Xenopus tropicalis: one gene and its partners. The protein of the gene in region 2 purifies or fractionates together with the protein of the main gene of each other region. This does not show direct contact. Links are inferred from orthologs where the notes say so. Each region holds a gene or a part of one and is shown on either strand. Other genes may lie near its edges.

What was found. The genes of interacting proteins can lie anywhere in the genome.
Region 1: the proteins of slmap (region 2) and stk24 purify together in Homo sapiens (affinity purification with mass spectrometry; 6 studies listed by BioGRID and IntAct, with this or other methods). This does not show direct contact. The link is inferred for Xenopus tropicalis from reciprocal best matches to the Homo sapiens genes SLMAP and STK24.
Region 3: the proteins of slmap (region 2) and strip1 purify together in Homo sapiens (affinity purification with mass spectrometry; 4 studies listed by BioGRID and IntAct, with this or other methods). This does not show direct contact. The link is inferred for Xenopus tropicalis from reciprocal best matches to the Homo sapiens genes SLMAP and STRIP1.

What each region holds. Positions count from the first base shown.
Region 1 is NC_030678.2:121,371,291-121,375,043, forward strand, and holds the start of stk24 (serine/threonine-protein kinase 24), read left to right. Parts: upstream 1-1,537; 5' UTR 1,538-1,663; coding exon 1,664-1,705; intron 1,706-3,753. UniProt on the Homo sapiens protein: Serine/threonine-protein kinase that acts on both serine and threonine residues and promotes apoptosis in response to stress stimuli and caspase activation.
Region 2 is NC_030680.2:148,148,590-148,152,242, forward strand, and holds part of slmap (sarcolemmal membrane-associated protein), read left to right. Parts: intron 1-780; coding exon 781-921; intron 922-1,802; coding exon 1,803-1,940; intron 1,941-2,625; coding exon 2,626-2,794; intron 2,795-2,873; coding exon 2,874-2,924; intron 2,925-3,653. UniProt on the Homo sapiens protein: Associates with the striatin-interacting phosphatase and kinase (STRIPAK) core complex, forming the extended (SIKE1:SLMAP)STRIPAK complex.
Region 3 is NC_030678.2:72,085,067-72,088,819, forward strand, and holds the start of strip1 (striatin-interacting protein 1), read left to right. Parts: upstream 1-1,192; 5' UTR 1,193-1,199; coding exon 1,200-1,325; intron 1,326-3,753. UniProt on the Homo sapiens protein: Plays a role in the regulation of cell morphology and cytoskeletal organization. Required in the cortical actin filament dynamics and cell shape. Part of the striatin-interacting phosphatase and kinase (STRIPAK) complexes.

The DNA of each region.
Region 1 (3,753 bases), on a different chromosome or scaffold from region 2:
CAGCCCCTTCTTAAAGCTATATAATGTATCAGCCAGTACAACTGATTCGGGGAGGGAATTCCAGAACTTCACAGCTCTCACAGTAAAAAATCCTTTCCAAATATTTAAATGGAACCTCCCTTCTTCTAAACGGAGTGGGTGCCCTTGTGTCCGTTGGAAGGACCTACTGGTAAATAAAGCATTAGAAAGGTTATTATATGATCCCCTTATATATTTATACATAGTTATCATGTCACCTCTTAAGCGCCTCTTCTCCAGTGTAAACAGACCCAACTTGGCCAGTCTTTCTTCATAACTGAGACTTTCCATACCCTTTACCAGCTTAGTTGCCCTTCTCTGGACCCTCTCTAACTCAACAATGTCCCGTTTGAGCACTGGAGACCAAAACTGAACAGCATATTCTAGATGGGGCCTTACCAGCGCTCTGTAAAGGGGAAGAATAACCCCCTCCTCCCGTGAATCTATACCCCTTTTAATACAGCTCAAAACCTTGTTTGCCCTTGCAGCTGCTGCCTGGCATTGCTTGCTACAGCCAAGTTTATTATCTACAAGGACTCCAAGGCCCTTCCCATTATGGATTTGCCTAGTGCAGTCCCATTAAGGGTATACAGGGCTTGCATATTTTTACATCCCAGGTGCATGACCTTACATTTATCCACATTAAATCTCATCTGCCACTTAGCTGCCCAGATTGCCAGTTGGTCAAGATCCTGCTGCAGGGATGTCACATCCTGGATAGAATTGACTGGTCTGCAGAGTTTTGTGTCATCTGCAAACACTGATACATTACTCATAATACCCTCCCCTAAGTCATTTATGAACAAATTAAACAAAAGTGGACCCAGTACAGAACCCTGAGGGACCCCACTGAGAACCTTACTCCAAGTAGAGAATGTACCATTAACAACCACCCTCTGTACCCGATCCTGTAGCCAGTTTTCTATCAATGTACAAACAACATTACTAAGACCAATAGACCTTAGCTTAGAAAGCAGTCGTTTGTGGGGAACGGTAAAGTGGAGGCAAGTTTGTGCTGCACTTGCTGGTTTTCCCCTTCTGATACCTGTAGCCTTGTCAGTACTAATACAGGGGTATATTGTGCCTGATTACTCTCCCACACTAGATAGGCATGAACTAAACGCACCCTAAGTGCAGTAGCGCCTCCTGCTATACAGGCACCCAGGGGTGGCAGCTGTGTCTCACCCAGGGGCAGGGGGAAAGCTCCCAAGGGAGAGAAGCAGATGAGTCCGATTAAAGTGACATGCCATTGCCCTGGCGAGAGTGAGGGCGCAGGAGGAGCTGTGTGAGGGGAAGAGACAGGAGGAGGAGGAGGAGGGTAGATGGGTGGTTATTGCTCTTCTTGTTTCCTGCTCTAGTTTTCTGTACGAGAGAGGAAACCGTGGTGACATCGCCTTGTATCTACTGCAGCCTCAAACTTGCTTCTCCCCATTTCGTGTGATCATTGGCCTCAGCCGCCGCCGGAAATCCTCCTCTCCAGCACAATAATAAAGCCAATCTCTTCCTGCTCCCCAGCTCTGCCCCCGGCTGCTCCTCCTCCTCCTGGGCCCGGACTCGTAGGCAGAGGGAAGCCCGGGGGACCGGGGAACACTCCTCGGTATCGCAGTGGATGTAAGGGCCGGGGTTGTGCTGCCGGCACATCAGTATGAGTCACTCCCCGGTGCAGCCCGGCCTGCCTGGGATACAGGTGAGCTCTGCCGCGTCCTACCTTCGCCTTTAGCTTGGCTTTCGACCCCTTCTGGTATATATTAGTCTGTCTGCGGCCCTTCAGCAGTTGAACTACAACTCCCAGAAACTTGGCTTGCATAGAATGCTGGGGAATGGAGGCTGGATAGTGTGAGTAGTTAGTACAGCTGCTGGGGGGCCGCAGGTTGGACATCTGAGTGCAGGTATTGATGCTCCAGGCTACAGATCAGGCTAGAAATCAAGGCATTTGGGACCTTATTCCATTGAGTCTGCATATTGAGGTGCATGGTTTGCCCGGAAACCTTTAACTCATCATACGGGAAACATTACTGTTATTGGCCACAGTCCTAGCACATCTGTGGGAGCAAATACGAGTTCACCTTGCTGCCCCCCCCAAAATGATCTTCAGCTGGCATTTATTGTGGGAGTTTTAATCAGATTAATCAGATCAGCCCATTTTAGTGGCTAAATCCATTTATACATCTGGTTCATTTATATGTAATTGCTCATAGTGACATGTGTAATGGTGCTGGGTGTCCCTTACACTGTGACTTTCTGTTACACACCTACATTGCTTTCCCATCTACTACAGCTGTGTTGAGTAAAGAATCCAGATCCAATAATTCTTTACACACTGAGTAAAGCAACTGACATAAACATAAAACTGTGACATAAACATGCTTTTTGTTTATTAACAATGGAAACTTTTTAGGCCTGTGCCACTGTTTGACATTTCTGTAAGTAAAGTGCTGGTGTGGCTAAGGGGAATGGGGAACAGTGACTAAGTATGTGAGAGGCCGCAATTAAGTTTAATTTTTATTCTTAAATTGAATTTTTGTTTCTATAGCTCCCCAACTTGCCAGTTAAACCACTACTTTGACAGTGACCATGTGCTCAATATCAGTTTTCTAGTTTGAAAGGGTTACTAAATCTCAATTTAAAATTGACAGGTTAAATAAAATAAATGTAGTGTATAAATAATATTAATAATAATAATAAGGAATAAGAGTCTCCGAAAAGTAGTTTAGATTCTATCTGCCTGTAACATAATCCTTAGGTTAAAGGCCTTGGACTTCTTAGATTAAGTTGCTTTATAAAGCCCTGCATGAGATAAGCTCTTATTAGTGCCTAACAGGATAAGAAATACATATTGGCATCTATTTAGAGGTGCTTTCTGCATTATGTTTTCCCATAACCCTTTTCTGCTGTTTGTCACCATTTGCCTTGAAATAAACTCAAGCAGCTTTGTAAAACGACTGTCCCATATTGATGGGTAGCAGTGCAGTTACATACTAAGGTCCAGATCAAATTGTAAAATGTTGTTCTTTTACAAAGGGGTCTGTGTTGCTCTTGTGACTTAGGGCCATAAAAATCAATTTGAAGACATCATGCAGCCAACTGATTAACTTCTAGGGTGGGGACGCTTTTCTGCACCTCTGTCCCACATAGGAAGAGATACCTTGTACATTACTCGCACTCATTACTGCAGTAGAAAAACTGGTCATTGAAACCAACTAGTTTTACAGGTCCCTGGCCTTTGTGCTGCAGTGCAACTTGTACCTCACTGATTACAGCTCATTTACAATTTTGGCAGATTATCTACAGTGTGATTCATTCACAAGCATTTTGGGTGTATTCTTGTCCATTGTAATTTGCCACTTTGATTTTTACCATCCCCTTAGGGTGTGGCACTTTACCAGCCGTACTTCTGGTGGCATCTTTGTCAGCCTAAATGTTTGTTATGGTAGAATTTTAACTGGTCAGACAATGCTTTTATTAGCATTGTATATAGCTCTTAGTCTCCCCGCCCCACCAAGAGAGAACTGTTCCCGGCTCACAGTAGTTCAGGGGGCTCAAATGGTAATCAACCATGTCCATGTAAGCATGTCCAAAATACATGCACTTTTGACTGGGTTTACTGAGAACAGGCACTGGAACAACTGCAGAATGCTGACCAGAGCTTCACCTTAATATGGGGTTATAGGGCTGTCATGGAACGTTTCCAATCTAGAAACATGCATTCCCATAAACAGCATGACTACATTGCAG
Region 2 (3,653 bases):
TAATTCAATCGGTACAGCCCAGAAACATAGATTTATCAGCAGGATCCCTGTGTTTTGAAAGGATCGGTTCACCCTGTTATGCTGATATGGCGTAAAAAAAAAAATGGCAACTGTATCAGTGTTAGAATCTGAAACTGGTGGTTCACCGTTAAGTTAACTTTTAGTGTGTTATAGAACAAATCTAAGCAACTTCAATTGGTCTTCGTTTTTGTCATAGTTTTTAAATTATTTGCCTTTCTCTTTTAACTCTTCCCAGCTTCCAAAATGGGGGTCACTCACCCCGGCAGCCAAAAACACTGTTAATCTCTAAGGCTCCAGTTTTATTGTTTTTGTTACTTTTTACTCCTTATCGTTCTGTTCAGCCCCTCTCCTATTCATATTCCAGTCTCTCATTCAAACCATTCCCTGGTTACTAAGGTAATTTGGACCCTAGCAACTAGATCGCTGCTGAAATAGCAGACTGGCTAGCTGCTGAACTTAAAATTAAAACTGAAGACCAAATGCAGATTGTTTTAAAATATAATTTTCTGCAGTGCACTAAATGGGGCTGCTAATTATTTCAGTGGGGACTGTGGGCAGCAGTCCGGCTTGTCTCTGTATATCAAGCAAATATTCTTCTTACAAAAAACCATTACCATTATATACATGGTGAATAGCTTTAGTATCCTATGTTGTATACAAAGTATATATTACTGTAGTAGGTTTTAAAAGTATTAAATGCGGTCTGTTATTCATAATCTTGGTAGAAAAGCTGAAACTTATTATTAATTACTGTTGCAGAGTCAGACGGATGATGGAATAAGAAAGGAAATGATCGCTTTGCAAGAAGACAAACACAACTACGAGACAACGGCCAAAGAGTCCCTGAGGCGGGTCCTTCAGGAGAAGATAGAGGTGGTGCGGAAGCTGTCAGAAGTAGAGGTAAAGGCTTGTTTGGTGATGAAGATGTGAGATTTGTGGGTTTCTGTAATGAGGATCATGCCTTAGGGCTAATTAAATCATTTGAAGGAGAACTAAACCCTAAAAAAAACTTAATTCACCAGCCTAAAGTTTCAGCATCTATATAGCAGTAATGATCCAAGGCTTCCCAGGAGCTCCCCATCTTGGATTTTGTTAGGAGTGTCAGTGACACTTGAACATGCTCAGTGTGCCCCGGGCAGAGTTTGGGAAGCAAAGCTTAGGGGTTGTAGCAAAGAATCAAACAGAAAATTAGGTTGGCCTGTAATATAATGCTACATGGCTTATTATTAAATTCTTATTGCTGTACTGATTTCAGTGCTGCCGTGTATTCATTTCTAATCAGCATTATATTGTGGCATTTATATTCTATAGATACAGTATATTGTGAGTTAGTCGCTAAGGGCAGCACAGAGCATGTTCTCGGAATCAGCAGAAAAGTAGATGGGGGGCTACTGGGGGCATCTTCAGGAGCACAGATCCTCCCTGCTAAAGGGCTGTTGTTGCCTTGGGTTAGTACAAAACCCCAGAACATAATATGCAACATTTTAAGCCTACTTCTTACTTGTCCTTTAAAAAATGTTATTGACACCAGCATTGATTTAGTTATAAGGCAAAGTCTTATTACCCCATACAAGCTATCATGGGGGAAATAGTAAGCCTATAGTATACACACTCTCCTGTGTGCCCCTCTTATTACAGGGGCTCTTCTGCATTCACCAAACTAGAATGGGTGCCAGAAATACAGTTTATGGAAGTGTGCATTTAGTCTGACATTGTCTTGCTTATGGCTCTGAGCCACAATTCTGTACTCACATGTGCCTTTGTGTTTCTTTTAATCCCAGCGGAGTCTGAGTAACACAGAGGATGAATGTACCCACCTGAAGGAGATGAATGAACGCACTCAAGAAGAATTGCGGGAATTGGCCAACAAGTACAATGGAGCCGTGAATGAGATTAAAGATCTTGCAGACAAATTGAAGGTCAGTTCCTGGTACCTGGCACAGTTGTGTTGTGGCACAGACGCCTGTTCTTTCTACCGGGCAGGGTTGGTTGTTGGCACAAAGGACAGTTCCTACTGCTTGGTGTCATTGTTGGATGCAAAGCCCGTGTGGCATGGATTTATAGAATCAAGGCCAGCCCACTTGTCCCAAGTGTATTATGGTTGGTTTCTTCGTGTGCGTTCTTTTGGATTCTTATGACAAATGTTTTGGCACGAGATTGCATCTACATGAAATTAAAAATAAAATAGCAATTGCTTTACTATGTAGGGCAGCTTATAGTCTGTCTATCTATTCATATTCTAGAGGGAGTGTTGTCTGGTTTTGTGTTGCCTTGGTGTAAAAATTAATTGGCTTGGTCGATTGGCATTAAATTAATTGTCTTCATTCACTCATTAAGGTGAAAATTGGTCTTATGGAAATGGAACACAGGGCAGTTTGGAGCATTTGGTCTCCCCAGTGCTTTGTAGCTGGCAGGGGAAAACCCAATCCCTTTCTGTACCACTTGCCATTTAAATGAATGGAAACTCACAGTTGTGTAAAAATCCATGGCAATGACAAACAGCACAGACGGGTACAGGGCAATGCTGCTTAAAGCGGCACTACTTCCAGTAACAAAGCCACGTGGCATACGTATAAAGTTACCATTTAATTGCACCTTTTGTAGGCGGCAGAAAGTCGGCAAGAGGAAATCCAGCAGAAAGCTCTCGCAGAGAAAAAAGAACTGCAGAATAAAATTGATGAAATGGAAGAGAAGGAACAGGAGCTACAAGCTAAAATCGAGGCCTTGCAAGCAGACAACGACTTCACGAATGAACGACTTACCGCCTTACAAGGTGAGTTCCCCGTGTTCTTTGTAGTGTCCTGCCCCCTTTGCTTAGCACGGCTTTTTTATTTTTGGAATTCTGCTTGCAGTACGATTAGAGCATCTTCAAGAGAAAACACTTAAGGAACACAACAGCTTAGGTAAGTGTTGGAGTTAGTTAGAGGCAGTAGCTGACGCCAGGGGAAGGCCTACACCTCCGACGAGTTGTATGATTGTGTGCCCAGTCCGTCCTGACATCTCTGTCTGCTGAACGTGCCAAGTCAATATTCCCAGTTTCTGCCCCGTTCTGGGGCCCAAAGAAAAATACATATTATCATATACAGCATGGGTTTCAATTGCCGCCCCTAGCGGAGGGAGGGGGAGTCAGAATACAGACTAGATTTACATTAGCTCTAAACATAGCAGTTTGTGTTGAATTTACTGCAGATATATCAGTACCTTACATGACCCAGGTGCCACCAGAACCCGGTTGCCCATTTAAAAAGCAATAAACGTGATGCATATAAAGTTGGAAATTTAAAAATATATACCGTATGTTTGCATTATAAATAAAACTGGTTTGGCAACTATGGGATCCTGTGTTTAGAGCTGGAGTATTTCAGATTTAACCATGCTCTTAATGACAAGCAATGCCCAGTTGTTAGGGGTGCGCCAAATCCACCATTTTACCATCAAGCCAAATCCTTTGTGAACGAGAGAACGGAATCCTCATTTACATATGCAAATTAGGAGAAGGAGGAGCTAATGAAGACCACGGGCCTTTCTCATGGTGAAAGATGTTTGTGACAAAAAAATCACGGATTTAAGGAATTGGTTCTCCCAGAGGCATGGAGTCGCCTTAATCTGAATCCTGCTGAAAAAGATCCTGA
Region 3 (3,753 bases), on a different chromosome or scaffold from region 2:
ATTTCTCAAGCGGCCCTAAGTGTGTATATATATATATATATATATATATAATCTGTTCTTTGTGTTTGCTCAGTTTCCCTTGTGTAATATTACATTTAAACTCGGAAACAACTCGCTTTGCAAATATGCAGTACCAGGTAAAACAATGGAGCAGCAAATACTTTTTCTCATCACTGTAATTACAAACTAGGGTGTATGTTCTATGGCCCCATCCTACTAAATTAGCAGGGATCTCCACCTTCACCAGGGGGTCCCAATTAATAGTCTGATGGACACCTAGGCCCCCTGAATGGTAAGCCCTGTCTCAAGTAAAATAGGGCCTCAACGAAACAAAAATTGCCCCTCCTATACAGTGTGTTCTAACCTGTCTCTAAGCTTAATTTAAGACAAAACTCCAACAAAACCTTGCCCACTCATCCACAAGCCCCATCCCTTTTAAGAACCTGGAATCATGCCTTTTCATCTCAGGACACCTGACTGCTGATGTACGTGTACTCCAATAATGATTGCCCATTATCAGGGGCCATTTAGATAACTTAAAAATGTAAATTGTGCATTTCACTTATCTATGGATAGCTAATGTGTGTTGCCTCATTTTACAATTTTACTTTTTAGAAACATCAGGTGCACAATTTGCAGCGCTCATACCCTAGATCTGGACACTTCCTTTTGCTCAATTGTATAAGCACTCTGACAACGTTACAAGAGTTTCTTCTACTGAAATTTTCTGACTGTAGTTTGGTTGATAGAACTGACCAGCAGATGGTGCTATTATTTCAATTTAGACGCATTAGCTGTGTAAAAACGTTTACCAGCTTAAAATCTATGAATACCTAATAAAAGTGGCAAGAAGCCCAATTTTACATGAATGTATTTAGAGTTAACGTTTCCTTTAAGGGTAGCCGGCTTTCAAACATCGCTGTAACTGCAGAGAATACATGGTTAGATATATAGATAAATGCAGGTCTCAGCAATAAAATACATGTTATGTAGACAGGAATATACAAAACACTGATTATCACACTGGTGCCGATACATCAGTCTCTATAAGCCGCCCAGTTTGTCAAAGAAAGGGCGAGACTCTTCATACTATCGCGATGTTTGGAAAGCAGAAACAGACACGCCTTGGGCTTTGCGTTCCACCGCAAATGTTCTACTGAGACGGCGGTGTCACGTCACGTGGGCGTCGCCTGAGAAAGATGGAGGCTTCCGGTTCTCTGATTGTCAACAACAAAATGAGAACAGGAATCGGTGGTGCGGTAATTGGCAGCCCCCAACCGGGCAAGGGACGAGAGTACAACCGTACACAGCGCAAGGATTCAGAGGTATGAGTAAAAGTGGTTGTTATGTATAACTATATTGCATTAACATTTGTGTTTGATTAGTACTCAGTTATCCTCGAATTACCCTTGTAATGTAACTGTGTGCCAGCTTTTATGCTTACTTAGTGACCGGGGTATGTCTGGGGAACCTGTGACAGGAAGACAAGACAGTTCTTACCTGATTAAAAAGCCCATTCCAAAAGGAATCTCACATCAGTTTTGCGAACTATTCTAAACTGCTGACTTGTCTTAGTTTTACTGTTCACCAAAAATATATATTATAGTTCTTCGTGGTTGCTGTCATGTTAATATAACCTATAGTTATCAAAAATATTTAATTAAATCTCCGTCATCCTGAAAGTTGAGCATTTCATTTAGAATCACACATTATATTCCTGTTCTGCAGGAAGATGCTGTGACAGAAAGGCACATGTACCTCTGCAAATGTAGTGAGAAAAGTGCAGTTTTGAGCGTAATTGCTGCAGGTTTTTGAAAAAATGTTGCTTTTTCCCCCAGAATTTGAGTCATTGTGGTTCTCAGTGGAGTGATACGCCTGGCACAATTGCTCTGTCTATTGCAGTTGTATCTGATTTGCAACTGTGTACCCAAAATTGGATGCAATTGCGCCAAAATCCAGCTGGCGTCAGTTCTACTGTTTGGTCTGTACCTGATTCTTTAGGTGCAGCAAGTGTGTGGCAGCTCCAGGCTTCCCCTGGTGCAGCAGCTCTCAATTTGGAACGGAAGGTAGGAAGGAGAACATAAAAGTGGTGCTAGGTGCAGCTGGTTGGGGGGAAACTGGGGACCACTATTGCACTCGTGGACGTAAATGAGCCCTAAAGTGTTCCTGGAAATATCATGCCCATGTATTATTCAAAAAGTTGAATTTAATGCAAAGCTAAGATTTCACCACTTGCACCTTTCTCAGGGTGGAACAAACAAATGGTATTTGGGAGCAGCTGTGCATATTGTAAAAGTAACTGAGGAGAGAATTCTTTGGGCTGTAAACATGATTCAGACTTAAGAAAATAGTATAAAAATGTACCACTCTGTCACATGGTTTCACAGAAAATGCCTGAAAGTTAGTCTGAGGGTAGAGGGCCCTGGGTACTCATGAAAATATTTCAATGAGCAAAAGATCTCCTAGCATGGCCTTGCTTTTACTAGTGAGATTTTTTTTTTTTTATTGGTCTGTGTTTACTGCTTCATCACCTGGGGTTTACAATTGCTCTCGTAATGTGTTATGCTATAATGTGACCCTATTCCACGGTTACTCTAAAGAACCAGGTTGCAAAATGAAATCACTTTCAGTTTCATTGTTTTCCCTGTTAAGTAAAAGAGCTACTGAAAATATTACCTAAGCAAATTAGCCTTTGAGGAAAAAAGGTGTAACACGTACAGTGTCTGAACATCTATGAATAAAGTTAGGTCTCAAAACTGATTACATTTAAATCTCCCAGACTACTAAGAAATATGGTTTTGTTTGCATCAGTCTTATGAGAAAGAATTGATATCTTTCGAAGTTATAATTTTTTTTTTCTTTCCAAGAGTGCAGTCATATTCTGTGACTAGTTGCAAGTGCATTGAAAGCTGTCCACACATAATTCAGCGTGGAAATGCAATAATAGGTATTTGTATTTGCTCTCTGTGAGTGAACAGGTATATCCCTTGCCTAGAAGTGCACACAGAGGGGGCAGAAGGCAGCAGATCAGCTTTTCTCTGCTGGTGTATCTACAGCAATGGGGAAAAAAAACATTCCATGTGCCATTAGGGCGAATGGTCGCAGCGACTTTCCCTTCAAAGGATCCTGTATATGTTGCTGCGACTAATAGCACACAGGTTTTCGCTGCGTAGAGAAATCGCAGCGACTTTTTAAAGACTTATGCCGACTAATCGCCTTGTGTGTCTTCACCCTTAGGGCTCTGGCACACGGGGAGATTAGTCGCCCGCAACAAATCTCCCTGAAAATGTAAATCGCCGGTGGGATGGCATAAGCGGCGGCGCGCTTTCACTGAAATCGCGGAAGTTGCCTTGAGAGGAAACTCACATTTTTTTTACATTTTTGCCGGTGGGATGGCATTTCTGGGAGATTAGTCGCCCGCGAACAGGGAGATTTGTCGCGGGTGACTAATCTCCCCGTGTGCCAGAGCCGTTAGCCTTCCAATGTTTTTGGATAAAAGGTTTTTTTTTATGACTTTCTGGGCTTTTGTGTCCAAAGAATGATCAGATAAGACATCCTCTTACCACAGATATTAGTTATTTGATTTAAAGGGAAGGTCTGAAAATTGTTGTTAGTTTGACTGTTTGGGTATAATCTAACAATCTGATAATGATAGAACAATTTGACTGGTCCATCTCCCAGTCTCTCCTGTGAACTATCATATTTCCAAGACCGCAGTCTTCATGTTGATGATTTATTGTTCTACAGTATACA